Linked DNA regions of Caenorhabditis elegans. The protein of the gene in region 3 interacts with the protein of the main gene of each other region in a pairwise test. Each region holds a gene or a part of one and is shown on either strand. Other genes may lie near its edges.

What was found.
Region 1: the proteins of bath-9 (region 3) and nhr-46 interact in a two-hybrid assay, tested with the Caenorhabditis elegans proteins (one large-scale study listed by BioGRID).
Region 2: the proteins of bath-9 (region 3) and B0272.4 interact in a two-hybrid assay, tested with the Caenorhabditis elegans proteins (one large-scale study listed by BioGRID).
Region 4: the proteins of bath-9 (region 3) and asns-2 interact in a two-hybrid assay, tested with the Caenorhabditis elegans proteins (one large-scale study listed by BioGRID).

Annotation. Positions count from the first base shown.
Region 1 is NC_003282.8:5,753,016-5,760,936, reverse strand, and holds the start of nhr-46 (Nuclear Hormone Receptor family), read left to right. Parts: upstream 1-3,074; 5' UTR 3,075-3,121; coding exon 3,122-3,547; intron 3,548-3,590; exon of another isoform or gene 3,591-3,611; intron 3,612-4,059; exon of another isoform or gene 4,060-4,080; intron 4,081-4,221; exon of another isoform or gene 4,222-4,245; intron 4,246-4,892; exon of another isoform or gene 4,893-4,916; intron 4,917-5,047; exon of another isoform or gene 5,048-5,068; intron 5,069-5,251; exon of another isoform or gene 5,252-5,272; intron 5,273-7,088; exon of another isoform or gene 7,089-7,109; intron 7,110-7,921.
Region 2 is NC_003284.9:9,424,971-9,432,091, reverse strand, and holds B0272.4 (enoyl-CoA hydratase/isomerase family protein), read right to left. Parts: upstream 3,662-7,121; 5' UTR 3,655-3,661; coding exon 3,486-3,654; intron 3,440-3,485; coding exon 3,379-3,439; intron 3,330-3,378; coding exon 3,185-3,329; intron 2,866-3,184; coding exon 2,704-2,865; intron 2,140-2,703; coding exon 2,068-2,139; intron 2,021-2,067; coding exon 1,862-2,020; 3' UTR 1,668-1,861; downstream 1-1,667. Other genes in the region: putative 3-hydroxyacyl-CoA dehydrogenase B0272.3, read right to left, coding at 1-59, 203-360, 414-659; fln-2 (Calponin-homology (CH) domain-containing protein), read right to left, coding at 5,409-5,693, 5,851-6,016, 6,064-6,720, 6,772-6,918, 7,038-7,121.
Region 3 is NC_003280.10:3,373,158-3,380,342, reverse strand, and holds bath-9 (BTB domain-containing protein), read right to left. Parts: upstream 3,255-7,185; 5' UTR 3,227-3,254; coding exon 3,123-3,226; intron 3,078-3,122; coding exon 2,699-3,077; intron 2,214-2,698; coding exon 2,066-2,213; intron 2,023-2,065; coding exon 1,871-2,022; intron 1,817-1,870; coding exon 1,694-1,816; 3' UTR 1,509-1,693; downstream 1-1,508. Other genes in the region: Y49F6C.2 (BTB domain-containing protein), read right to left, coding at 831-953, 1,001-1,283, 1,342-1,382; bath-10 (BTB and MATH domain containing), read right to left, coding at 3,695-3,844, 3,897-4,048, 4,439-4,595, 4,641-5,031, 5,087-5,190.
Region 4 is NC_003284.9:8,745,879-8,753,827, forward strand, and holds asns-2 (Asparagine synthetase [glutamine-hydrolyzing]), read right to left. Parts: upstream 5,064-7,949; 5' UTR 4,985-5,063; coding exon 4,902-4,984; intron 4,855-4,901; coding exon 4,716-4,854; intron 4,407-4,715; coding exon 4,317-4,406; intron 4,269-4,316; coding exon 4,099-4,268; intron 4,051-4,098; coding exon 3,645-4,050; intron 3,595-3,644; coding exon 2,892-3,594; intron 2,845-2,891; coding exon 2,732-2,844; 3' UTR 2,556-2,731; downstream 1-2,555.

The DNA.
Region 1 (7,921 bases), on a different chromosome or scaffold from region 3:
AGTTTTAAAGCAATCAAAATGGTTTTTGCATTTATGGTTGGTTTTTTTCAGTCAATCTGCGAAAATTAAAATTATTATCTGAGAATATGGACGTGGATAATTTGTCGGTAGGCATCAGATAGGCACAACGCAGGCATAGCCAAAAACATATTTGTAACGTTACTAAATGCCACTCAATTTTAATAAAATGGGCTCTGAAAGAGGGAAAAATGTACGGCCTGTTTTAAAAAAAAAACAAAGGTTCGCATTTTGGAAATTTTGGTCCAAAGCTGAATTTCTGTTAGGGACATGTTTCTAAATATTTTTCGCATGGTATAAAGTCCAAAATTGAACAGAAACAATTTTCTGGTTATCTCCATTTTTTTTAAATAACCAATTTATTACAGTTTCACACTGGATATTTTTATTTTTAAAAAAAACTGTGACTCTCCAGTGCCCTTTTATTTTCCGCAAACTGTTCTCTGTTCTATCATTTTCATGAAAACATGGCTTTCCAGTATTAACCATCCACCTCAAGATCGTAGACATCGATCCAATGTCGGCGGCAATCTGTTCCAGATCTGACGGCGTCTCTCGTCATTTTTTTATTTTTCAAGGTCTTCGCCTAATTTATCTCGACTCACTGTTCCGCGTTCCAGTGTATCGGTACCAGTACTTTTTTTTTAAATTTTCCTCAGACCAAATAGATCAGTTTTCTGAATAGTTTTTTTTTCTATATTAACATGTTTCACGTAGTCTGTATTGTTTCAGACTGTAGTAAGCTATAATTCGTAAAATTTTTATATTGAAAAATAAATAAGTTTGATGAATGATAGATACCAGCATTTGATAAGCTTCTAGGACAGGGACAAAATTTTAAAACTTGAAATTTGGCCTAACATCCTTTGAATTTGCAAACCGGTATAAGAGAATTTTAGATTTTTTTTTGAGATAGTTTTGAGAATTTCCTAGGTTTCAACTTTTGGGATATTTTGAATCTATTGTTGCAAAACAATGCTGATCCATTATTGCTTTTTTAGTATGTTTTATATAGTCGGTATTATTTGAGATTGTAGAAAAAATCTATAATTTCTTCTTTGTCATTAGGATTAGGCAAAAATACATTGGTCTACATCACAATGAGAGCGAAACAATACAAAATTGAATAACCTAATCAATAGTTTGAAACAGTTGTTTTTTGTTTTCCAATGGAAGGTTTTGGATAACCCTCGAATTAAAAAAACTCTCATTAGAATCAAATTTAAAATGAATACACTTAAAGCAGTCAGAAACCTGTAGGCTCCAATCAAAACCATTAAAACTCCCTAAAAATTGTTAAGATGCTATTTTAAGTTTCCAACCAATGCAAAGATTGAATATGTATGACAACATTGTTCTTGAAAATATGGAAAAAATTTGGTTTCTGGGCACTTTTAAAATTATTGAAACGTTGAGGAAAAACATTGCAAACTTTTTTTGATGTCCTAATGTGATTTGAGCTCCTTCAATGTAAATTTATAAGATTTCACTATAATTGCCGCTGAAACTATATTTTATATGTTTCAAGTGGTGTATAATATTAGAAAATGCTACCATAAACAATACGATCACTGGTTTATTTGTAAACTGATTGAAAAAAGTATAAATTTTGTAACAGACAAAAAGCATGGAAAATTATGAAAAAAAACGTTAAAACCCTTTATAACACAAAAAAATAGGCACCGAATCGTAGAGATTCCGGAATAGCTGAAATTGTCCGTTGTGACTCAGTTTTGCAGCCCTTATTCTGAGTGTGATGCGATACTTGCCAGTTTTAAATAATGAAATAATTCCATATAAAAATTCGCAAAAGTGATATCAAATTTTATTTTAATATTTTCAAAGTAAAAGTTATTCATAAAAGTGTTAGTTTTTCAATTAACAAAAAAAACTGAGCTCTCCATCTTCCGATCTCCTATTCCCAAAAACCATTTCTATCCATCTTCCCCTCCCATTGTTTTCCATTAATTTTGATTCTTTTAACAGATTAATAAACTTCCAGTCATTCAGCTTCCCTTCATCTCATTCTCCGATTCCTTAGATCATTATCATGATCAGCACCGGCCGTCTTGTGTCCAACCGTACCACTCGTCCCTCTCTCTCTCATTTCACAGTTTCCCTCGGGTTTTTCAAATATTGTGTTCAGATGGACATTCTTCTTCTGACTTTAAAATTTTTACTGCTTACGCGTCCGAAGAAAAAAGGAAATTAAAAAGCATCAAAGTAACAGCGTCAAAAACTTGGTTCAATATTTACCTTGAAACTGGAAAATTGATTGTTCCGATTTCTTGGCGGTGCTCTCTTCAACTTTTGTTGATTTCTTTGATCGCTCATTGCTCATGAATCAATCAGGTTAGGTACACAAAATGAATGAGCACTGAAACATTATTATTTCCATCTCGTCATTCGATTTTTCACAGTTTTATATTTTCGGTTCACAGTTCATCAAAACGGATATAGCTTTAGAGAAACATATTTTTTCACTAAAAATTAAAAAATTAAAATCGATGTTTATATTTTTTTATTTCAGAAACAGCTTTTTTTAATTACTGTTTCACAACCACATAAATAATTTTGAAATTTTTCACATCCCAATCTTCATGTTTTTCGGTTTCTAAAATTGTACAACATATAAAATTGTACAACATGCCTGTTAGAAATTTTGATCAAAACTCCCCAAAAAAACATTTTGTGAGACATTTATTAAACTGCGATTTTAACAAAGCAACTTGAATACTAGCAGAAAAATAGGATTATCTCTGAAAAAATTTCCAGCTGTTTTCAATCATATCAATCTTATCGGTTATCGATTCATTTTACGCCCTTCATCCATTTTCGCTTGATTTTTTTTTTGAAAAAAAGTTACTGTTTCAGAAGTCCAATAATTAATTTGATATTTCTCTTTATCCTATTCTTCACTTTTTCTAAAGGTTATGCATCTTTAAATGTATACTCTTGTTTGAGTTTGTGTGCTCTCTTATCATCATGATTATCATCTCTTCTCCTCCTCGTTTTAACCACTTTTTTTGCATATGACTATACCTCATTTTTTCCAGGTATCTATCTCAAATTTCCCATTTTCAAAACGACGTCTTCACTTGTTATGGAACTATTTCGATCGCCGCCACAAACGGCAATGTTTCCTACAACAGCTTCTAGTTCTTTTGTCTCAGCGGCTCTTCATCAACAACAATCATCTCCATCATCAAATCTTCCAGTAATCCCTTCACCAACTGATATGATTACTGTAACATCAACATCACCAATTCCAATCACAACTTCTGCATCACCACCGAATCTTCCAATGTTCTTAAGCTTTCCGAGCACATCAACGACGACAAGTATCCTTATGGATACTGTATTAGCTGCTCAAAAACTGAATCAACAGCAGAATCAGCAAGCATTCAATTTTATGGTTGTGAAGCAGGAAAATGGAGAAACTGGAAGAAATTTTATGACAATGAAGCAAGATGCTCTGCAAGCAATCACTAATACAGTTTCAAGGAATTCACCGCCAAATGTTATTAAGGTGTGTTTATTTTTTAATTAAAAACTTGGTATTTGAAATAAGAAAGCCCAGTCATTTTCTTGAAGTAATGAGTTTTAAACCTACATTTTTTACTGATTCGTAAAGCAGTAAATTTTTGTTCATATCAGCAAGATTTAATAAGTGTTTTTTAATTCTTGTAAGAATGCCTATTGAAATTTTGAATGAGAAATCCTAGCAAATTCATGAAAAAACATCAACAGCTTACCAAAATGCTCGGTTTAAAGCGAACGATAAAACAAAATGTTTTGTTAGTTTTTTTAATTTTTTATTTTGTTTTCATTTATTTCTACTGTTTCATGAAATAGTGAATTGGAAATACTCAATTTTTGTACGCCTGTACATACGCCTACAAAATGTGTTTTTTTCTGTAATTTGAAATTTCGCCATGAAATTTCGTATTTTCCTGACATGTAACCAAACGAGTAAGAAAAATCTTGAAATTTCCGAGTCTGCAAAATTCGGCAATTCCACATGTTCAAGGTTTTCTGAATATCTCGCTGCATGAAAGAAAAATCAGCAATTAACATTTTTCAACTTTTATACTGTTTGTAAAACATTAGATTTTTATTGTTGTGAAAAACTGTTTGGAATTTGATATGTTTTTTTACTGTTTCATAGCCACAATGAAATAGTCAATTTTAGTATTTATTTGCTGACTAACCACGATTCCTCAAAAAATATCAAATTTTCCGAATTTTTACAACCACTGTTTCAATGTTCAATTGTGTTACTTCGCTCTCTCCGATACAATTCCATAACATTTTATCATCATAAACGGCCGTGCAACACAGTAAAAATGGAATGATTTAACGCTCTCTCTCTTCCAAAAGGTTGAAAAGAATGAAAGAGCAGTGACGTACTGAATTTCAAATTCCACTATTTTCTGTCTGCATAAATGATCGATTTTTGTTTGGGGCGAATTCAGATACGGATTCCTGAAGGATCTCCCGTTTTAGGTGCAATGTAATCTAAAAGATCTTCGTGTTTACATGAAGCCTTGTCCCTAATTTCTGGAAAAAATGCCAAAATTTTCAAGATATTTGTACTTGATCATTGTCTTGTGCTCTCTCATTGTGCGCTTCTCCTCGCCAGCTGAATCAACAAATAATATTAATTTCTACATTACAAATTCGACATTAATTTTGACAATTTGAATGACTGTTTTATCTATCACCGCTCAATTTTGTGATCATCTCTTTATGATCAGTATCAATAAAACAAAGTGCCAACCGGAAATATGTGACAGTTCAGTTTCGCGGGTTAGTTCACGTGGTTTTCACGGTTTCGTTGAGTTGTATTTGCACATTGGTACATGAAAGAACATTCCGGAATGCGAAAAAAAGATTGAATGAATGAGTAAGGGGGTCTAGAATAAGTCGATGCCAGGAAACAGTAAAATTTTCAAATTGGTAGTTTAAGAACAAAAGTATAAGCGAATCTTATTTTAAAATCTGTTTTCCTTTTTTACAACAATATTTACTAAAATATTTATAGCTGTTAATAACTCGAAATTAACAATTTCCATAATAAACCATATCTGAAACAGTAGATTTTGTGTACCTCAATAACATTTATTTTTGGAATAGCCAACAGCCTTGCAAATAATTGTTTTTCTTCAATACCCTAACAAAAATAAAAATAATTGAAAAATGTTGAAATAGAAACATGCTTTAGCCTGCTTTAAAATTTATTTCACGATGTGTACCAAATTTTTATAATTTTACAGAATATCACAGTAACTTGTAATAGCAGAAAATTTGTGAAATGTGACTATTACTAAGTTTCCCACTATAGCCGTTCTGTTTGAAATCTGGCAATTTGTTCTTACTTTGACTGAAATTTCTGAAAATTCCAGATTGTTCTGGACTTTTAAAATATGATGCGTGTTCATGTGAAGGTATTATAAATGTATTTATACAAAATGCCTGTTGACGTGACTCCAAATTTAACTAAAAATATCTACTGCACCAAAAAAAATCCAAAAATTTTTCACAAAACTAATCTTATATTAGAAAAACTAAATATAAAACAACCAATATATATATTACAACAGGTCACTGTCTTTTTTAAACATTAAATTAATTTTAAAACGTAGTCTAAATTAGTTCTCTGAAAGTTCAATAGTTCATAAAGTTTCCCTCTATCTTCAATTTCCTTTCTGAAATAGCTTCCTTTTCCCTCAGGGGGTTTAGATGTGGAAATAATCCTTTTCTAAATGTAATGTAGTCCTGACATTAATTATGCCCATTTCCTCTATTCATCCATGAAAAATCTCGTCCCTCGTTCTCCTCTTGTTATGTTTCGAGTGTTGCTAATTTCTCGCCGATTCGGTCGCAATTTTTGAGCGCGGAGGAATTGACCCAATTTACACTAGCTTCATGTTGTTGGGCGAAAAACCGGAAAATGGTTCAGCTGTTGGAAATGCAGAAAATTTGAGGAAATACATTAGATCAAAACACACAGGTTGATAAGGTATTGTTGATCTATTGATGGAAAGAAGAAATCATAAAATTAGAACAGAGATATCGCAATCTCTATGATCTCGCAGAAACGTTTGTGATAATTTTTATAATATTTATATAGTTTTAGACCTTTTTATTTGAATTGTTCCAGTTTTTAATTTAAAAAAACCGTGCATTTGTACAGTTTAAGTTACATTATTCGAAACACTTGGAATTCGAAAAAAAAATCCCGTTTCAAATAGGTGTTTTATTTTCGTTTAAAATTTTGTCTGCGATTTTGTCTTTTTACAAAGTTTATTTCCAAAAAAACAACAATCTTACGTCACGTGCAAAATGAATAGAAATTTGATTAGGTGTGTATAGAAATAATGCAATTCTTAGTTTCCCTAGAGGACAGCTGAAAGTGTGCGATCTCAGTGAACTCGTGTAGTGATAAAAAAATGACACGTGTTTCCTGAATCAAAAACATTCGGGATCAAAAGGATCCATTTATATACTGATAAAACACACACCCAGAGAAACAGCATCACAGTTCATTGTCTGAATCTCTCAGTTTACCACACTATTTCACTCTCCTCTAACTCTTGTGCAAAATGAAATACGCAACAAAATGTAAACTTTAGGGGCGATTCTCTCACACTCTCCGCACTCTCTTAAGAGTGCCCACATTTTCTCGCATTTCTCTGTCGGTCTCTTCATAACATGTACTCTCTTCCAGGTTTCTAGATTTGTCTGCGTCCCAGTATCTCGCTCGCATGCCTGCACTTCTTCGATACCCGCCTTACTCTCCTCTTTCGCTCTCTCGATCATTTTTCGGTCTTCGTATCAAAGGATCGCAAGCACTTTTCAACTTTCCATCTTATGATTCTACTTGGAATTCTTAAACCATGTGTTTTGACCATCCTCTTCTCGTTTCTAGCGTTTTCCGTGAAAACCTTCGAGTTTCCTTGAAAATTTTGCCAATTTTCGGTACATTCTAGTTTAGATAAGGAGCCCCTAGATGGGAGGAAGAATTGCATGGAATCAAAATGATACGAGTGATATTTTGTACGATTTTCGAAATGCTATTCGAACCTGAAACACTTTGTAAATCCAAAATTTTATATCAGAATTTAGTGAAACAGAAAAAAATCGTTCATTTCTAAAGTTCAAATTGCTTCCAATCCTCTTTGTGTCTTCAACCACTGCATGTGGTTGAACAAAAAATGTGTTTTGTTGATCAACGCCGCACACACAGAGTCTCAGAGTGCACGCAACCCATGCTATTTTTTGCAAATATATTTTTTGGGAAGAAAATGTCGCATTGAAACCTTTTGAAACCTATCCCTCTCTCCGCCACGTGTTTTGCTCGCAGAGCTCCTTCTGTGTCTCGAATGTGTGCATTGTGGTATGTGTAGTCTCAGTTTGCTCAGACCGCTCTCAGTCCCTCACAAAAGAGAAAATGAAGACAAATAATATCTATCTATCTCTCTCTGACATTCTCCAATATCTCTTCCTCTCTATTTCTCCGTATCTCTCCACAAAACCGTTGTGCATTCAAAAAGACACTCGCAGAGCAATGTTAAAAGGAAATGTTTCATGTCATGTATAAACTAAACATGTATATATATACATAAGAAGTGATGGCGCGCGAGCGGTGTGAGAATGAACTCGGATATTATTGTATAAGGGGGGGGGGGGGGATTTAGATGATCAAAGAAGTTCAAATATATGGACAAAGGGTGAAAGGGTAAAGACCACACACGCGCGCGCCCCTGAAAAAGTCCAGAAAATAGAGAAAGTTTTGGGTCGCCTAAACTACATACACAAACGCCTCAGATGTTGCAAAGGGCCCGCGCGCACCCGCGTCACATCCTTGAGTATGAAAGCGTGAGAAAATAGTGTAGGAAGA
Region 2 (7,121 bases), on a different chromosome or scaffold from region 3:
AGTTGAGCCCAATGTCGGCGAGGCGAAGTGAAGAAGTATTTGTGGTAATGAGAGTAGTTCTAAAATTTCAATTGAGACATTAATTGGGACTGGATTTATTTGTGTACGTTCTAATTTAGAATTTCTAGATACAACATTGTTTTTCTAGCATACATGGTTTTGAAAACTTTGGCAATACATTTTTATTTAGTGGAGTACTTACGGTTTGGCAGCAACCTCCACCTCTGCAAAAAGTTTTCTCTTGATATCAATGTTTTCCACGATGGCTTCAATGACCAAATCAGCGTCCTTGACAGAATCGGAGACGTTGGTAGACATCTTGATACGGTCCAAAACTGAGCTGACAAGAGCTGTTTGAGCCTGTAAAATTATCTCAGCTCATTAATTTATTTGAAAAAATGAAGAAACCTTACCGCTGCGTCGTCGGCGTGCTTCTTCTTGGCAACTCTCTTCAAACTGTTGGCAATTCCTTGCTGAGCCTTTTCGAGAGCAGATTGATTGCTATCCACAACTGTCACGTTAAGCTTGGCGTTAGCAGACACTTGAGCAATTCCTGATCCCATGAGTCCGGCACCAATAATGGTCACATTATTAATTTTTGAAAGTTGGGCGGTGGTGGAGAGTCCACGAACGGCAGCGGTGCAAGTTGAACTGAGCATTCTGCAAAAAAAGTAAGTTAAGATGTTTTACGTTGCTAATTTAAAATTTCAACAATTAAGAAAGAAAACAACTCAAGAAAGAGTAGTAGAAAAAACCGATAGATATTGTTGTGGAATCGTCCGTCGGCCGCGTGTACACTCGGACACACCAAAACTACGCGCCGACCATCTGCGCATTGCTGATCTGCACACTCTCTCGCACCGTGTCTCATTGGACTTTGCTCGCTACATTCTATCCCAGAGAGAGGAGGAAAGAACGAAGGAATTGGGAAATAATAGGAGAAAAAGACAAAGAGTGGAAAATAAAAGAGTTTATTATCATTTGGGATTCGATTGAATGTTTGGGTTTGATAACAGTAGGGAAAAATAAGACGAAGCCAAAGTTTGAAAAAGGAAAACTGCAAGTATTGTATTAAAAACAGTGCCAATAAACACTCATTCAAAAATTATATTTTTTTGTTCGGTTATTTTTCTACAATCCGATAACTCCAAATTCTAATTTCAAGGTCGATACCAGCATAATTTGTTTTTTTTTGTTGTTAAACGCTGTTAGAATATGTGTTATCCAAGTGCTAAACTGTTGTTAACAATACAAATCAACTGGATTTCTGTTTGCTTTTCGTCAACGGCTATATTTTTTAAACGATTACATATTTAGTTCTTTTGATTAAACGAGATACTGTGCAAAGAAACTTTGAGAAAAATATATATATGTTCGAAAAACTTCATTTAGTTGTTTTCTAGAATAAATTCCGTACATATACAGTGCGCACAACTTCTATAGCACCCCTCTAATTTGGGAGTTTGAGGTTTTTCTGAATAATTTTCGAAAAAGTGTTCATGGAGTTTGCCAGCAAACGTTGAAAATCCTATGATGCCCAATGCTGATATCTCAACAATCATGGAAATGAGGCCACAAAGTTGAATAAACGACCGCCCAACTTCTATAGCACCCCTCAATTTTGTTCGACAATTTTTGTTAAAATATTTTCTTCTTCTTCTTTATTTATGAATTTATGAATTTATTTTGAAAATAAACTCAATCCAAAATGTTCAGAAGGTGTCATTTTAACATTAAAATAATAAAAGCGTGGAAAAAAAAACAAAAATAAGGGTTTCCATTTATTTTAATGTATTTAGGCAACCTTGTATTTACTTCAAATAAAATACATTTAGTAAGACGAGAAATGATGAATTATTGTTCATATTTTAGATGGTTTAACAAATTTCGCAGTGAGACGAGCAATAGTGTCCTCGTGGGAAAACATCCCATTCAAATGCACTTGCTCTTTTCGGTTGACAGTGAGCAGTTCGTCTTTGATTTGGGTGGTTCTCATCAGTTCTTTTGCTACTTTCATGGTCTTCAAAATAAAAAAAGGGATATGGTGAAAAGTTTTAACAAACTTACAATTGGAGAAAGCTTTGAGTAGCGGTCGATGATTTTCTTTGCATCTTTTTCAAATGTCGCAGCTGGTAAAATCTGAAATCACAGGACAATCTTTTAAGAAATGATTGCTTTAATATTCCTGTTATTAAAGTCACGACCCACTTTTCAGATATAGGATTTTATGTTATTGAAACAAAGCAATTTATATAAAAGTGGGTTGGGGACACGTCCCCGACCCGAAATTGGGTCGCGGGTCGACCCATCTCGACCCATTCATCACGCCTAAGCGAAAGAAGTTGGGCGACAGAAGCGGAACAAGTTTTGTTCATTTTTGATTTTTCCAAACGCAAACTTAATATATATTTGTAATAATTCAGCTCAGACTACTTTTTTACAGAACAAAATTCAATAATAGAACGCAAAGAATTTGCGCGTCACTTTTAACTTAAAATCATTTTCGAGCGAGTTTTAGCAGTCTTAACAACTTTTCCCAATTTTATAACCCAGTAAGTACTCAAATATGCGCTACACTTTTCATTATTTTTACTACATCCACTTCCACTTTAAAAGTTCCCATTATTTTTTCAAATTTGCATGTGAGTGTTGTCAATTAAAAATTTGTGGTCCTTTGGAAACTAGAAGTTTTCAAACACTTACTTGTGTAACCAATCCCGCAATATGAGCCTCGTGAGCGGTAAACTTTTCGCTGAACATCATCAGTGCGGCAGCTTTTTGATGACCCATAATTCTTGGGAGGGTGTAGCTGGAACACGCTTCTGGGCACACACCAATGTCTGCAAACGGAGTGGCAAACGTTGCCTGCAATGAAAATTGTGAAATGCGCAGTCTTGGAAAATTGGGGATATTTACACGTTATTGAGCATTCTTATATGAGAAAATCTATAGCAAGTACATATCTAACAAAATGTATTTTTTACTTTGTTTTTGATAAATATCAACCACCTGCATATATAACATAACACAACGTTCATTCCAATATATTAAGAAAATATTCTAGTTTGTAAGGTATATAATAATAATATTATTAAAAAACTGATTGTTTTTTCTTTAAAGTACTTTTTGCACATCAAGTTAGATGAATATTGTTTTTTCATAGTTACCAGCTAAGAAAACTCACAGTGTCAATGGCAATGACCGCATCCATCACACCCAGCATAGTCACAGATACTCCAACGGCATGTCCGTTTACCAAAGCAATTATTGGTTTTGGGAAAGCAATCAAGATGTCCACAAAAAGTTTGTATCCATGTTCTTGGATATCTCTGTAATTCTTGTTGAATGAAATAAAATGTCATGATTTAATAATCTCACGTCAATGTTGAAAGCTCAGCTGGAGAAAAATCGCTTCCAGCGCAGTAATACTTCCCTTTTCCTAAACACAAGTTTACGGTTAAACATGTTGATTGTTGACAACGTACCTCCTGTAAAAACAACAAATGCAATATCATCATCATCGGCAGCATCATTAAAAACTGTGCACAAATCAAGGAACATCTGTCTAGTGAGAGCATTAAATTTCTTTGGCCTGTTCAGGGTGACCCATAGAACATTATTTTTACGCTCAGTTAAAATAAGTCCACTTGTCATTGCTTCACTGAAACTCAATTTGAAACGTTAAATTTTGATAAGAATTCGATAAGAAGTTTAGTAAGTTTTTGATTCCAATATTAATCATTCAAAAATAAAAAGAGTGAATAATAGAATCAAAGTAAATGAAGAATTTGGCGGTCATTTATAAAACAGACTATAATGTGGCGTTGATTGTGGCTGGTTGCGACTGATAACAGTTGTATCGCCTTGTTTTTAGTTGAACTGTATCTGTAGTATGTAGTTTTATGTGTACCACATTAAATGCAATTCACCATAAAAATATTTTAATAATCATAGATATGGTAAACAGTGTTATAAATTTGATTAACGGCAAGGATAAAATAAAGTGAATGATTGAAATTTGTTTTAATGTTGTTTTCCAGTTTTCATTCAACAGTGTTTCTCAAATTTCTATGAACTGCGTCAGGCTATCTAGTTTTAGCGAACATAAGTTTAAATTTTGGGAAATATTAATAAATGCCTAGGATTTTTTATACAAAATGAGATAAATATGTATTTGAATATTGTTGTAAGTCAGTTTGAATTTGTCAAGTTGTGAAAAAAGTTTCTTTAAAAAGTTCAAACTATTCAAGGTTCTTGCGAAACAAAATTGATACTCGCGGCTATAAGATGTGATTATTCAATAAGAGTTTACCAACACAGGTTGTTAAAAACACAATATTAAACTCTTATTTTGAAATATTTCTACGTGATGCGTTGTAAACCTCTCGCTGTTCACAAGTTCCTTTGCTTTCAAGATGTAGGTGTTTTACTTTCTATCGATGTAGTTGAAAAAGAAGTAAACGTCGATATATTCGTTAATCCCATTAAAACCCATAAAAACCCCCATTAAAACCGCATTAAAAAAGTAATAATTGGTTCATTTCAGTTTGAAATTTAGAAAAAAAATTGAAGCACAGTTACAAATTTTCTTTAGTCGCAGCAACATATGAATAGTCTGAATGCAATTATCATTCTTCATTTCAGATTTTTGTGATTTTTTATACAATTTTACGATGATTTGATCAACCTCGGTTTTTGTGCAACAAACTTAATTTTAAAATGCAGTTCCACAATAGACAAAAACCATAATTTTTATTCCAACTTTGGATAAACTAAGGAACTAAGTTTTGCAATAATAATTTTTGATACTGCAGGCTTGTTTTATTTTCTAAACTTATTTTGAATGATTTGTAAAAACTTTATCATGTTTTAAAAATAAGAACATCTGAAATTGGAATTGAATAAAAATACAACTAACTTATAGGAAGACTTCTGATTATGAAACGAAAAATTCTACACAAGAAAGATAGCAGAGGGAGCAGAGCACAGGATCTTGTTCATTTTATTAATGAGCATTTAAAAGTGAAGGAAGTGGGAACATGGAGCAAAGGTAAGAAACATTTGGCAGGAGTATTTCTGTTTTAAAATGTAAGTAAACGTCTGGGAAAAATGAGCATTATGATTAGAAATGATGAAAATAAAAGAACGTTTGTTGTGTCATCATCAGAGAAAGTATCACATTGTATTTGGGGATTGTATAATCATAGATTATTTGGAAAAGACAAGGAGAAGCAGAATCTATGCAATAATAATTTTTCTGAAATTTGAAACCATTAACTAGAATAGCATGTTTTGCTGTATTAATTTAAAAATCTTAATTCTCAATTTTCAAAATTTGAGTTCGAATAAAAATGTTGATTAAAAAAGGATTTGTAGTTTGGAATTGAGGTATCACTAATCAATACAATTTAATGATTGCGTCCTTTATGTTTGGTCGGAGGTGGAACGGATCCATATGGGCTTGGAACACCCATTGGTCCGAAATGGCCTGGTGGTGGCAGGAAACGTTGCTGTCCTGGTTGCATTGGGTACATTTGTGGTGGAGCTACCCATCCTGGCGGAATGAATGGCGTTGCTGGTGTTGGAGACGGAGCCTCGCCGCGAAGGTATCTTGAGAGTTCTTTCTCGGTGTCGACGATCATGACAAGGAATGGACTACCTGGAACATGCTCTCCGTGCCATTTCACTTCGACCTGAAAATTATTATTGTTTTCAATTCTGTGGTTAACGGCCTTTATAAAAATGTGTTGTGACTCTACGAAATCATTGTTTAAGTGTTCACAAAAATAAATTAGTTTCAAAAACTGTATTTCACCCCTTCAAGTATTGTACTATGATATCTAATCTCACCTGATAATCCCCTGGTTCCTTTGGCTCATACTTGCAGTGAATCGTTCTTTCATTCTTCTTCTCTCTTTGCATTTCCACATTGAAGGCTCCCTTTGGTCCTCTGACACGAACAGTCAGTTGTCCAGCGCCAGCACCTCGGGTTTCCACGACGAAATTGGATTTGAAACTGTAAATAATACCATTCCTTCAAATAATTTATCTAAAATAACTTACAGAGAAAGAATTCCATGTTCAACTCCTGGCCCGTAGACGCGAACTTTTGACGGATCTGGTGGAAGAGACACGTGAACAACGAATGGACTTCCTTTTACGTGCTCATCGTCGTATTTGATAACCAATGTATGCTTTCCAATCTCAGCTGGCCTGACACAGAGGGCATAAGTTCCATCTCTGTGATCATACAGTTCACAGTAAGCGGGCTTATTCGGACCCATACATAAAGCTGAAAGTTGTCCGGATCCAGCACGACGAGTATCAATCAATGTCTTAATGTTCTCATTGATTATTCCAATTTTAAGAGTCGAAGCATCAACGTCAATAAGATCAGCCAAATGAGCAGATGTGTCTGCAGAAACAGCAAATGGTGATCCTTTAACGTGCTTTCCATTCCAAAGAATATGAAGTTCATAGGTGCCTCCAGTCAATGGAGTGTAAGTAGCTTTGTAGACATTATGTCCGAGTTGTTGAATTCTCACAGGAATGTCTGCTTTTGATCCTAGAAGTGTTGCTGTGATACGACCCTCCTTGTTGATATCACTTCCATCGATGATGAATTCATTGTGCTCCTTGAGAACAGCTCTGTGAAGACCATCTCCTCTCACCATTATTCTGCTAATTTCGTCATCGGCATTTGAACCAGACGACTTTTCGCTAAAAAAAGTCAGAGTATATCTTATTAAAATCATTCAATTTTTAGATTACCGTGTGTGATAAGTTGTTGTAACTGGTGGTGGGATGGGTTCTCTGACAGCGCGAGAAGTTGTCGGCAAGTCTTCGGCAGACGATCGGGCTCTCACTGGGAATGCGCTCTCAACTGGCAACTCGTTCCAGTACAAGTAAATCGAGTACCTGTAACAGAATTTGATTTGCGGTGTTGAACATACTTAGAAGTTCGAGAGAAATTATAAATAAAGATTCGTTTCGTAAAATTTTTGATAGATCAAATTTTGATTTGATAATTTACTCACTTTCCGGGTTGATCTGGATTAAATCGAACGCGGTATTTTCCCTGTCCCATGTCCTCGACAACCGGGCCATTGCCGATCAGCGAA
Region 3 (7,185 bases):
TTGATACATCTGTGAAAATGTGTGAAATCTCAAATTCCTTTTTAGCGGAATTCATTGTCCTGCTGAAATTATAGAGTTAGAAATATTTCAAACAAATTGGATAAAAAAGCAGTAAAGGAGTTTCTTAAAAAATCAATAAAAGGCAAACGAGTAGTCTTGGAGGAGAGAGAATGAGCTGAGAAATGGCTGAGCTGGTAGTCAGCTGGTAGTCGAATGTTATCGATCCGTAGTTGCAGATGACGCAGCGTCAATAAGTCTTCCCAAGAGTGAAGGAAGAACCTCTGGCCACAAAATTATGCGTTTCAGAAATACATAGAATTTCCCGATTTCCAAAAAAAAAGGGAGAAATGCAGTAGAAACTTAAGTAGGCACGTAGCCAAGTAGTCATGCGGTGTTCATGTAGGTATGCAGTAGGCATGTAGTAGGCATGCCAGCATGCAGTAGGCACGTAGGCATACATTAGGTATGTAGGCATACAATAGGCAAGTCAAACACATGGCAAAAAATTGAAATTCGATAACCTGAATTTTCCCTGATATTCGAATTTTTGAAATATATTTTTTCAAATTTACAGTCATTTTTCCGCAGAGAAAACTTGACAGCCCGAAGGAAATTTGCAGGAACTTCAAATTTAGCCTTAAAATTTTCAAACGATGTTTCACATCAAGTACTAAAGAAAAGTCAAGAAAAACCAAAAATGCCAAAACTCAGTGATTAACCTGTGATTTTTTTTTTGGAAATTTGGAGAAAGATTGTAACAATTATATGGAATATATGTACTTGAAAGTGGTAAAAAACAATTATTTTATTCAGAAATTAAATTTGAATGGTTATTTTAGAGCCACCGATTTTTCGAGAAGAGCCGCCAGCACTGTTGGCTCCATGTCAGATAGATTACCTGCCATTGCCGCCTTGATTTCATCAATCGTATTGATTTTTGCAAGACATAGTTTCTGAAAAATATTCAATTTAGATTTACACGATCCGTTGTGATCCTTACCTTCAAGTTCTCAAGTTGATATTGCTTTGCAATATTGAGTATATCTCGCTTGGGCCTTTCATATTTCTCAACCAGAAATTCCTCACATTTCCGAATCGCAAAAGGCATGTCTCTTACAGTCAGGACGATTTTGGAGATGAGCCAACATTTTTCAAAAATTCTTTCAAAACTAAATAGAGGACCAAAATGTACAATGCTTAGTCGAAATTTGAAGCGAAAATGTTGAATTTGGAGGATCTTATAAGCAAAAATCAATAATTTTAGAAAATTGCATGTAATTTTTCTGAAACTACAGATATCAATGTGTTTTAGAATGATTAATTATGTAAAAACCGTCTTACAATAATGGTTTTTTAATTTTTGTTTTGAAATCATTTGGCATCTTCGGAATATGGTAGCCAGCAGATATGTGTGACACATTTTTTCGACATATTTAAAACATCCCCTATTTCTCCTTGTTGAGTCGAAGTTTTGTTTTGAAAATTTATGTAGAAATATAGAGAAATATTTGTACTTTTTGGAAATTATTATACTTTTGCTCAAAAGTTTCAAAAAGTCGCTCAAAAATTGGTTCAAAGTCATCTCAGAAGAAGAAGTAGCATGGCAAGCCTTGAAAATGAAACAAACTTTTTTATGATACAATAAGTAAAGCATACAAATTTACATAACTTATGTGCTTCGTAAAATTACTAGTTAATGAAGAGCCACTGATTTTTCGAGAAGAGCCGCCACTACAGTTGGATCCATGTCAGATAGATCCCCTGCCATTGCTGATTTGATCTCAGTGATTGTATTGATTTTTGATAGGCACGATTTCTGAAAAAATTGTTTTATTGGAATTTAAAAGAATTTTAAAATCTTGATTCTAACCTTCAAATTATCCAGTTGATATTGCTTTGCAATTCTGAACTTATCTCTCCCGAGTTTCTCAGATTTATCGGATAGAAACTCCACACATTTCTCAATCACCACGGCCATCTTGTACATGTGAGCCAAGTGTAGAATTCCCTCAACGTTCTCGTCTAAAATTAACTTTTTTTCTAGAATAAAAACCTTTTTCTTTACCCTCAATAGCAGGTTCTCCGTACAGAACCTCTAGAAGACACTGAAAATCGGCAGCATTGATGTCGGTGAGCGCGATTTCAGCTTTTTCTGGTTCATCGAATTTTCCGAGAAATAGAGTTTTGAAGTATGATGAGTGAGTGGCGAGGAACTGAAACACACATTAAATGAATTTTTTGGCTAATTTTGAACAGTTCGGCACTAAAAGTGTGTCATGACGCATAACTTGTTGTGCCGGATTTCAGAGATTTCGGCGTTTTAGAACAGTGGTTAATTCGGCCAGATGTAGCCGAAAAGCCAAGTTAGGGCTGATCTCTAATATAACACTTTTTGGAAATTTCGAAGTTTCAATTTTAATCGGCAAAAGTCCTACGCATCCAATGAATATTCCTACATCTATTTTGAAAAGTAAGCAAGTTCTATGAAAATAACTAGAAAATAAGGGGGAAAATTTCATAAAAGCACAGTTTTAAGCGTTTCCGTCTTATAAAAAATCTCTCTAAAAACTCCCGGCAAATTCAGTTTTGGAAAACGGAAAATCGACAATTTGCCGGAAATGAAAATTCCCGGCAAACTGTCTAACCGGCAATTTGCCGATTTGCCGGAAGGCAATTGCCGCCCATCCCTGAAACATACCTTTTTGAGAACAAAGAACTTCTTGTCGTAAACCGCTAGAACCACATCAGAAAAGACGTCATCTGACTGCTCAAAGCTACTGAGCAGCTTCCTAGGAATCCCAGTCATCTTTCTGATCTTGACCTCTGCTTCAACAATGATACTATCATCAATGAGATAATCCTTGATCAATGTCTCCCAACTGAACTCCCATCCCCATTCATTCGAATTTGGCACAAATTTAGTCCTAGCCTTGTTCCTAAGACGTTTACCAATTGAATTCTTGACTGTTAGTCTATATTCGGTATCCACGGACCATGCGCCTTCTCCGATGTCTTTCAATCTCTGGCAACACAGATAAACTCCGATGTTTTCATTTTTCCGAGCAATTTTGATATTCCTGAACAAAAAATTGTATATTTATATTAACTTAGAAAAGACTTACCATCGAACATTGAAGTGTTCTTCTGCGGGACTATGAAAATATTTGCCTTTTTCCAATTCTGATACATTCTTGAATATATGAGTGAGTCCTATTTCCTTTACCATTCTGGGCGAAGTCTTGCTACTGAAATTGAAATATTAATTATAAAAAAAGTAGCAGTTCTCGCAATTTATTATTTTTCACAACTGATTATTACAACCCGCTATCCATTTTTCAAAACCTAATACACCAATAATAAAGTTACTTTTTTCAAAAAATCAATAGAAGCAAAAGAGTGAACAGCCATCCAGCTGACCACCGTGAAGACAAAATGAGAGAAAGGGGTGGTGAGAGACGGGGGAGACTGGGTGGTCTTGACCCCTGTCAACGACAAATATGTAGGCAGTGAATGGTCCCGAAAGGTGCCGTCTTACATCATTAGGGTCTTGATTGGAAATACAGTTTTCTACTACAGTCCGTCCAATTTCTATAGCTCACTTTTATCTGTAGAGTTTTTTACAATTTCACCAATATTTTGGAATTTATTGAATAAGTGAAAAATACAGTATAACCACAAAAAAAACAATTTCAAATTAATACGGTCGTCCATTTTTCGAAGGCGGTTCAATAGTCACCGATTTTTCGAGAAGAGCCGCCACTACAGTTGCATCCATGTCAGATAGATCCCCTGCCATTGCTGACTTGATGTCTTGGATTGTTTGGATTTTTGAGAGACATGATTTCTGAAAAAAAAAATGTATTAAAATAGTTTTTAAAAAATATATGAATTCTAACCTTCAAACTCTCCAGTTGGTATTGCTTTGCAATTTTGAACTTATCCCTCATGGGTTTTTCAGATTTGTTGGAAAGAAACTCTTCACAGTTCCGAATTACTTTTGTCATTTTGTACATGTGAGCCGAATGAAGAATCCCTTCAACGTTCTCGTCTGAAATATTAACAATAGTGTTATCTACTATATGGTTACTGTAGTTTCAGAAAAAAAATCAGTTTATAGATTTTGAGAATGAAGTGGGCTAGGATTACTGTAGGAGCATTGTAGTTATAGTTGACACAATTTTGAAAATGTTTGGAAATATTTTGGAAGTGTTTTGAATCTTACTGAGATGGAATTGTCCCCGTCCAGCCTAAGCCTTGGTCTCAGACTAAGCCTGAGCCTAAGCTAGTTGTCAATGCAAAATTAAATTCAAATACTAATATTTATTTAAACAAATAAACTTGATAGCTTCGTAATTTCCCCCCCCCCCCCCCCCCAATGTTTAAAATATTTTTCAGATTAAATTGTATTAAATTGTTTAAATTGCTATAGTTTTCTTACCATCCATAGCAGGCTCTCCGTACAGAACCTCCAGGAGACACTGAAAATCGGAGGGGTTGATATCTGGCAGGGTGATCTCCGATTTTCCTTCACAGTCCATTTCTTCAAAGTCCAGGGGAATAAGAGATTGAAAGTGTGTAGAGTTTGAAGCGAGGAGCTGAAAAGTACTCAAATAGTTGGAATATTCAGAGACTAGAGCTACCTGTTTGAGAACATAGAACTTTCTATCCCCAACGGCAATAATCATATCGGAATACTCCTCACTTGATTCATCAAAGCTTCTGAGCTCTTTTCTCGGAAATCCAGTCATCTTAGTGATCTTGATTTTTGCTTCGATAATGATACTGTCATCAATCAGGTAGTCCTTCAACAATGTCTCCCAACCAATAAACTTATTAAGTCCGAAATCACTTTCAGTACTCTTATTTGATAACAGACATTTAGCGATTTTCGTTACTCGTGTGCCAATTGAATTCTTGAGTGTAAACTTTAATTCCACATAAATTGACAGTGTTGTTTCTTCAGTTCCTTGTAAACTATTGCAACCCAGAAATACTGCCAATTCATCATCTTTCCGATTTATATAAAGTAACCTGAATACGACATTTGAAATTTATTAAATGTATCTTATAATTGGTGAAAACTAACCATTCAACATTGAAGTGTTCTTCTAGGGGTCCACATCTACATTCGCCATCTTTAAATTCGGATACTTTCTTAAAAATATGGGTGAGTTGGAATTCCTTTGCCATTCTTTTACAATGTAAGAATCAATAAAGAGAGTAGACAAATGGCCACCGTGAAGACAAAATGAGAGAAGGGGCAATGAGAGACGGGGGGAGACTGGGTGGTCTTGACCCCTAACGACAAATATATGAGTGGTCCCTAAAAGTCTTTCACAGGCAGTCCAATTTTTATAGCACCTCCTGAAAATCCCTGAACACTTAAAGATGGTGTAGTCGAATTTTTTTATTACCTCATTAGACTCAAAATTGTCTGAAAACACCGAATTTCATAATGAAACTTCTTGAAATCTTTTCAGAAAAAAGTTATGACGGCTCAAAAAATGACATAAAATTAGTTAAAATCGGAAATTTGACCAACTTGTCAGTGTCGGAGCGGCTGGAAACAATTTTTTTTGAAATCACCGTAAAATTTTAAGTATACAAGTTGATTATCTCGCGTTTTAAACTTCATTTAGGTATTTAAAAGTCGATGGACGGCGAGTTTTGGTTTAAAAAATTAAAAATCTCGCCGTCCATCGACTTTTAAATACCTTAATCAAGTTTAAAACGCACGGTAATCAACTTGTATACTTAAAATTTGACGGTGATTTCAAAAAAAATTGTTTCCAGCCGCTGCGACATTGATAAGTTGGTCAAATTTCCGATTTTAACTAATTTTAGGCTATTTTTTGAGCCGTTATAACTTTTTTTAAAGAAGTTTTCAAGAATTTTCATTATAAAATTCGGTGTTTTCAGACAATTTTGAGTCTAATAAGGCAGTAAAAAAATTCGACTACACCACCTTTAATTCCAAATTTTTAAAACAACCTTACCCGACTTTCAGCTAAAGTATTTTTCAGAACTATCAAAAAAGGTTTCAAATAAATATTAATTTTTAAAAGTCCATTTCGAGCATTTTGCAACAAAAAGTTTTAGACAATTTTATACAATTCTAGATGCAGATTTCTCTTTTGAAGTGGTGTCTCGACTCACTTCCGTCTTCCTACACAATGTCTCGACCCTCCACTGCCTCTCGATCTCTCAGTCGTTCCCTTTTTCTCTTCACTTCATTCTTCCTACTAGACGCCCTACTGAATGGGTGTCCCCCTCTTCTTTTTTATTGATTTTCGATTTATTTTCTAAATTTTCACTAATTCTTGCAATTTTTCCAGTATGATGAAGTGAGTTTGAGAGTTTTTGAGAATTTATGGAAATTTTAAAATTACAGATACTGAAGCCACTTCGAGCCCAGCCGAAAAAAGTTTCTCAGTCATTTGGATGAAATAGTGAAAAGAGCCGACTGAAAACATTTTTTTCAACCCGGAACCTATCATGCTTTGAGGACAAAGCAGCTTTTCAAAGGCGTCAAATGTCACAAGCTGATTTTTAAAATAATTTTTCGCCCGAATGAAGACTGGCCACAACATACAATTTGGAGCAACTTCAAAAGAATAGGAAAAGTTGCCGTCGCGGGAAAACAGCTGACTATAACAACTATTTCCAACAATAAGTAATCTCATTAATAACCCCAAAAACACAAAAAAAATCTGAAAAAGTAAAAAAAATTCAAAAAAAAAATTAAAATTTAAAAATTATTTCAAAAAAATCCTTATATTCATGATAACCAAATAACTTAATATTGATTTTCTTCACCCTTTCTCATAACCCTCACACTCTTATTGTCCTAATAGCCTAATATTTATTCTTAATCCTCAAATCCTAATCCTAATATTATCCCTAAACATTTGCATTACTCTCAAATTGTTCTCTCCTAATAACCTAATATTGATTTTTGTTAACCCTACACATTCTCATTAGCCACAAAATATCCTAATATCCAAAACCATAATATCTTATTATACTTCATCTTTATTCATTCATTTATTCTCTCATACAACTTGTGCACCCTTTTTTGTAAAGACCAATCTAATTGATTGGTTTTTTTATGTGGAGGTTTTTAATGCGGTATTGCCATCAACCATCTTTTTTCCTTCAATAAATCATCATGCACAAATTTTGATT
Region 4 (7,949 bases), on a different chromosome or scaffold from region 3:
AAAGGGAGGGAGTTGATTTCTATGGTACTTTTGTCTCTTTAAAACTCTCATCTGTAATCTGTAAAAATCTGTAAAACTGTAATCTGTAAAATTTAACTTTTTAGCTTTGAGTTCTTAGACGTAGCAAAGTATATTACAAAGTATCTGATAATGAAAATTGTTTTTACGTTTAAAATAAGTATACAAATAAAATAATAACACATTCAATTAAAAAATGTGCGTTTATTGTACACAAGTACAAATTTTCTTGTTGACGTAAAAAAAATCACCCTAGCGGAAATGAAGTGTAAGTCTCGAATTTGAATTTGAATTTATTTATTTAACTTTGGAAAAGATAGAAAAAAAATAATTCGAATATTTTAAAACAAAAACAGATTATAGAAAAATAACACGACTAGAATGATCAGTTTCATAACACAAAATAAATAAGAATAGGCAACTACACCTCAGATTTCCTCAAATTTCCGTTTGATTTAACAAGAATTGTTTAGACATCTTCAAATTTGAAAAATGTTAACTTAATGTAATTTGTGTTTCTGATTTTTCGATAAAATAATAATTTAAAAAAAAGAAGATAGTAGGCAATTCATGTAGTACTTATGTATGTAATATTTACATATTTATATTATAAAAAAGTAACATTTAAAAAATTCTTATTTGAACTGATTGTGAATAAATGTTTAGTAATGTTTAGCAACAAGTTGTAGGTTTTCTAGAACACACATTTAAAAATTGAAATTTTTTTTTAAATTATAAAAATTAGGTACTCTAATACAGATGCCGTTTAATTTTTCCGGTAAATGCGATAGTCTGTCATTTTTTCTATTTTTGTCAATTAAGAAAACCAATAATTTACTAAACGGCAAGTGCCGTCCTTCCCTACTTTTGATTGTGTAAGAACTTGATTGTGTAAGTAAACTTTTATGTTTTTTAACTACCCCACAGATTTCCAATGCACAATATTTATTCAGGTTAAAAGCCCAACAATATTCCAGTAGGTACAAGAAGCTTCACGTAGATACAGAAATAGTACATTTTCAGCCCTACCTTTTAGTGCGTATTTTATTATTCAATGAAAACTACCATTTATAGGCAAAAATAGATGGATTTTCCAAACTTTGAAAATTCATAAATCTCTTCAAAGTAATTTTTTTTGAAATGTCTTTCAGAAACTTTGTAGTAAATTTTAAGCTCTTTTAGAATTTACCAACAATATTCCAGTAGGTACAAGAAGCTTCACGTAGTTACAGAAATAGTACATTTTCAGCCCTACCTTTTAGTGCGTATTTTATTATTTAATGAAAACTACCATTTATAGTCAAAAATAGATGGATTTTCCAAATTTTGAAAATTCATAAATCTCTTCAAAGTAACTTTTTTTGAAATGTCTTTCAGAAACATTGTAGTAAATTTTAAGCTCTTTTAGCATTTACCAACAATATTCCAGTAGGTACAAGAAGCTTCACGTAGTTACAGAAATAGTACATTTTCAGCCCTACCTTTTAGTGCGTATTTTATTATTCAATAAAAACTACCATTATAGGCAAAATAGATGGATTTTCCAAACTTTGAAAATTCATAAATCTCTTCAAAGTAACTTTTTTTGAAATGTCTTTCAGAAATTTTGTAGTAAATTTTAAGCTCTTTTAGAATTTACCAACAATATTCCAGTAGGTACAAGAAGCTTCACGTAGTTACAGAAATAGTACATTTTCAGCCCTACCTTTTAGTGCGTATTTTATTATTCAATGAAAACTACCATTTATGGGCAAAAATAGATGGATTTTCCAAACTTTGAAAATTCATAAATCTCTTCAAAGTAACTTTTTTTGAAATGTCTTTCAGAAACTTTGTAGTAAATTTTAAGCTCTTTTAGCATTTACCAACAATATTCCAGTAGGTACAAGAAGCTTCACGTAGTTACAGAAATAGTACATTTTCAGCCCTACCTTTTAGTGCGTATTTTATTATTCAATAAAAACTACCATTTATAGGCAAAATAGATGGATTTTCCAAACTTTGAAAATTCATAAATCTCTTCAAAGTAACTTTTTTTGAAATGTCTTTCAGAAATTTTGTAGTAAATTTTAAGCTCTTTTAGAATATACCAACAATATTCCAGTAGGTACAAGAAGCTTCACGTAGTTACAAAAATAGTACATTTTCAGCCCTACCTTTTAGTGCGTATTTTATTATTCAATGAAAACTACCATTTATACGCAAAAAGTAGAGGGATTTTCCAAACTTTGAAAATTCATAAATCTCTTCAAAGTAATTTTTTTTTGAAATGTCTTTCAGAAACTTTGTAGTAAATTTTAAGTTCTTTTAGAATTTACCAACAATATTCCAGTAGGTACAAGAAGCTTCACGTAGTTACAGAAATAGTACATTTTCAGCCCTACCTTTTAGTGCGTATTTTATTATTCAATGAAAACTGCCATTTATAGGCAAAAATAGATGGATTTTCCAAACTTTGAAAATTCATAAATCTCTTCAAAGTAACTTTTTTTGAAATGTCTTTTAGAAACTTTGTAGTAAAACTTTGTAGCAGATTTCCAATGCACATTTATTTATTCAGGTTAAAAGCCCAGAAAAAGCGTAACTAAAAGGTATTTTTGAAAAATACATCGAAATGATTAATCATGGTCTCCTCCCATAAAGCGATAGAAAGTTTAAAAATGGGGATATGAAATAAGGAATGTGCTGTGTCATGACATGAAGAGCTCAGTTATTATGCTTGTGGTCGGCATTGTTCAATGTGATGTTGACTGATTGCAGATTTGTTGTTGCAGAATTCGTCTCCAATGTTGTGAGCAGAGTTCTCATGGACCAATGATGCTCTTCCTAAAAGGTAATGTTTATATAGAAAGACTATATATTGTTCAACAAACCTGATGGATCTTGGTTCTTTTGCCATTTTGGAATCCATTTTCTGACAGTGAGAGCCGCTTGCTCAGATGGGAACTGCTCGTGGAAGATCTTTCTCATGTAGAATGCTTCCTTACTGTGTGGAGTATTGTGTGGGAAAAGCTTAGAGGCTTGAGAGAATTCCTTGTCGGTAATTTTAGCAGCACAGTACTTCATGAGAGTGTCAATCCAGCTGTATCCAACTCCGTCGGAGAACTGTTCTTTTTGTCTCCACAAAATCTCATCAGGCAGATATGGGTATTGGTCCGTGTTGAAAGCTGATCGGAGAACAAACTTCTCGCAGTTTCTCCCATCTTCAAGTTTTTGTGGGCGCTTAAATGCAGGGTCCAAACTGACTGCAGCCTCAACAAATGCTTTATCCAGGAATGGAACACGAACTTCGACTGAGTGAGCCATCGAAGACTTGTCAGCACGAAGACAATCAGATGTGTAGAGATGAAGAACACGATCGATGGTTTCCTTTTGAAAGTCCTCATCGGATGGGGCATTGTGGAAGTAGAGATATCCACCGAAGATTTCATCAGCTCCTTCTCCAGAAAGAACAACTTTGATTCCCAATTTCCTGATTTCTTCGGAGAGGAAGTACATTGGAGTAGAAGCACGAATGGATGTGACATCATAAGACTCAAGATGCCAAATAAGCTTACGCAGGTTCTTGATACCTTCCTTAAAACATATTTGTGAATTTTGTTATTTCGAATTGAAGAAACACATACCTCAATGCTGAAATAGAACTCATGATGAGTAGTTCCAATAAACTTTGCAACTTTTCTAGCAGCCACAACATCTGGGGAGTTGTGATCGACACCAATGGAGAACGAGTGAACGGCCATTCCTCTCCTTTTCATTTCTCTTGAAGCAATTGAAGAGACCAGACTGGAATCAAGTCCTCCCGAGAGCAAAACTCCAATTGGTGCATCGGACATTAATCTCTTGTGGACTGAAGCTATCATGGTTTTTTGGAGAAGTTTGAGGTCCAATGGATGGATCGCTTTTCTGAAGTCGAACCATTCTGGGTTGAAATAGCGAACGAATCCCGTTTTAGGAGTGTAGTAGTGCCCGGGTGGGAACGATTCTATTTTGTTATCTCCGCAACTATCTTCCAAGCACTTCATCTCGTTACTGTAATATTAAATGTTAAGAAATAATCCTTTCATTGTTAATTTTTACCTGAAGAAGTATCTTCCATCGTCATCAATTCCGTAGTACATTTGTTTTACGCCAAGTGGGTCACGAGCAGCAAGGAAATCTCCATCGCAACAAAGAACAAATGCAAAAACTCCATCAAGAAGGTTGCAGATGTGTCCGTCACGGTATTTCTCGTACAAGAAAATAATAACCTGAAACAAATTGTATCTTGTGTGAAGTTATTTCTAACTGTTAAGTACCTCTGAATCGCAATGGGTTTTCAAATTGTATTTCTTCAGCTCGGTGTCACGGAGTTCTTGATGGTTGTAGATTTCACCGTTGTGTATAACCTGAAATAACCAATGTGCAACAAAAATCTTTGTGCCTAGGTGCTAAGGTGTGTCTGGGGGTCATTAATATCAGCACAAAGAACACGGCGTGTGTTGTGTTACACTTTTCGCTTATCTTAGGAGGAGGAGAAGTGATACACTAATGATAACAAGCGATAAGAACTAATTGTACTTTGACTACTAATGGGAAATCACGTGAAATACGGTTTACTAATTTAACATTAGAGAAGTGTACTAATAGCGGAACATAATGCACATCGATATACTCATATAGCTTGAAAAAGAAAAACAATTATGGAATATTTGTACCTGACGGTTTGGGGCTGTTCCTTGAAGTGGTTGAACAACACCTAGATCCATAATGGCTAGACGCTCGTGGACTAGTATATCTCCAGTCTTCGTGTCTTGGTAGCATCCACTGAAGTCCGGTCCACGATGGTGTTGTCTTCTAAAATTTGAAACAGTTTGTCTATACATGTACCTTACAACTCTTACCTGGACAACTTGCGAGCCTCATCTAGGTCGTACTTTGGCTTGTTTTTGCATGTTTGTTGGCAAATTGAGAATACGCCGCACATGGTGAGAGTTATTCGTTGAGGAATCCAAGAGGGAAACGGGTAGGCAGCACTGAACACAAAATAAAGTGTGAGTGATGATAGTTTTGGAGCAACGGACCGTCCTTTTTAAAGGCCTCTTGGCCGTCGAAAAATGGGCGGGCCGTGAGGCGGGCCGACGGCGGCAACCTGATGCAAGAACATAATCAAACGCAATCGGCCGGGCCTTGTCTGCTGCCTCTTTCTCTCGCGTAGTCTCTAGCGTTTTCCTGCCACCCGCCGGGGTCTTGCTTGTTTCCCTGTGAGAGGCGAACCATTATGTCGGCCTGGAACAAAAACATACTGAAAAATGATAAATTGGCTTAAAAACAGACATCTCCCATTACTAAATACTTAAAATCAGATAAAAACATGGCGTCGGTGTGTCTGTTACCTTGTTTTCGAAGAAAAAAGTTCTTGAAATCCAAAGTTTGGCGGAACTAGAAGAGAACTGAAATCTCAAAAAAACTTGTGAAGGGGGAGGCATTTGGGTACATCTTGTCTTGAAAAAAATAACTGAGGTTTTCAATACTTACAATGAATGATGGATTGCGGGAAGTCGAATTCTCGTTCTATAGTACAGAGATGTTGAAATGTAATGACATCGCTCCTAGACATGAATAGCTTCTATTAATTTTTGGCTGTGAGTTATTTGTTTTTTTTTCTGATTTAGAAAACCCAAAGTGAGATATTCTCGGACAGTTTAAAAGTAACGTTTTAAATATACTTTTGATGGTTAATCATACACGTTTGTTGCTCCATTACTGGTTCTGAAACCTGATCTTTTTAATCAGATCTAAAAAGTTCTTCATGGCTCATGCTCATTAAATTGTATGCTTGAAATGCAAGTGTTGTCATTTGTTCTTAAATATTTAAATGATTTCTTCTTACAATTAAGAAGTCTTTAAAAAAGTGTCCGGCAATTTAAGCAAACTCCGATAAATCTGTACTACGCATTTCCAATAAAGTAAACACACAACGTATAATTTTTACCAGTGATGAAAATTATCAAACTTCTTATGGGTACACGGAATGAGCACTATATACAAAATGAGACATTTCAGATTGTAGAAATTTAGTCAAAGATCAGTTTAATATCTTTCGTGAACCGTTCTTTGTAGCCGACGTAGCGATGTTCTCGTGCTGTTTTTTTTTTCACTTCTTGTTCCTACCAGACCTACTCATGGTGCCATATGAGCCATTAACTCGTCTTTATCTTTTTGCACAATCTCATCTCTGACATCAACGGCTTTCATGAGTAGACAAGGAAGAGGTCCAATCAAATAACTTGTCGCTTCCGAAACCAAAACATGAAAACCAAGTGTAAACAGGGATAAAAGTTGGTTGGGTGGAAGAGTCAACTATTTTTTGAAATATTTTTGGGTTGACCTTAAGTTTATCTCGTGTTGTTTTCCGGTTACAATATTTCCATGGTTAAAAAGTGTTTTCGCAGTATGTTGTCAGAATTATTGGTATAAGTTCAAGTTCAAATCAATTTATCAGTCTATACGTACCCTTTGGCTGAAAAATAATTCTGATTTTTTAGTTGCAAAATATCAAGGAGCAGTTTGTTAAGTAGGTATCGAGTGTGGCATGTTCACACTAGAACAGTGAAAATTTGTTTTTTTCTTCAATTTTCTTATTGGGCGTTTTTGATTGCGCGCAACTCTTTCCTGTTGTTTACTGTTGCTTCCAATGCTATCCGCAGTGCACCATGGTTCACCTTATGATGGTTTGATCTTCACTTCTTCCTACTTCCAAACCCCTATTTACTCTTATTATTCTGGACTTTCTATCTTGATAACAGGACATTATGTTCGAGTGACGTGAGAAACGAGATACGATGAGAGAAGAGAAGAAACAAGGGTATTCCCCAGTACGGGGGATTCCCCATTCACTATCCGATCACTACACGTGACCTTATCTAGAAGAAGTATAGAATGTGGAGACGCAGAGAACCACCAACAATCTTTGAGGATCAACCTGATTATTAATATAGTGTCACGTTGTGGCCTTGTCTCATTTACATACGCGTAGTTGGAAGATCAAACAATTAGAAACAGGAACACTCGTCGTTGACAACGAATTGTTGACAGAAGACGGCATCAAGAAAATTCCAGAAAACACCGTTAATGTTAGTTTTCGAATGAAAAGATTATTCAGCGAGTGTTCGGCAAAAACATACTCTAATGGAACATCTCCGCACAATTCAACTTCATATAATGCTTGAGTAGTTTTGTTTCAGATTAATTTTTTGTGCTTACTCCAAATTTTGTCCCAAATCTGTCCTTAACTCATTCACACCCACTGTTTTAATTGTTCAAAAAATTAACTTACTTTGAAATACTCTCACCCCAAACTAATCCTAGAGAATTTGCATTTTTGTATTACCAAAGAAAAGTGGTATCAGTAAAAAATCTAAAGGATAGTAGAAAAAATTTTGATATGTAGAAAAACGTTTTACGCTCATCCACAGAGAATATTTTGAATTCTTTAAAAGTGATGTTTAAGTTTGGTTTCAGCGAGTCAAAAGGTTAAAAAACTCCCGGATACATGCAAAGTAGGGAAAATCTAAAAATCTAAAAATGCAAAATTAATTATAACCTAAAAATTAACAATTGCTGCCATATGTGGGTTTCTGAGTTTTGCAATGTCTATTTTTCTAAACTTCTCTATGACTTTTTCTATTCTTTTTAATGCTGAAAAAGTAACAACATTGGAAGTTTGAGACCACCTTTACTGCTAGATGCAAGCATTTTTCATTTATTTTTTTATCACTTTAAATGGTCACTGTAACTTTCTGTAGTTTTTCATTCACACCTTGCAATCAAAAATTGTGATTTTAGATTTTTGATTACCTTAATTTCTGTTAGTAAATCAACAACTTTGATAAATAGAGTCTACTCGTGTATCACGTTTCACTGCACTCACCAATTATGTTTCGCCTAAA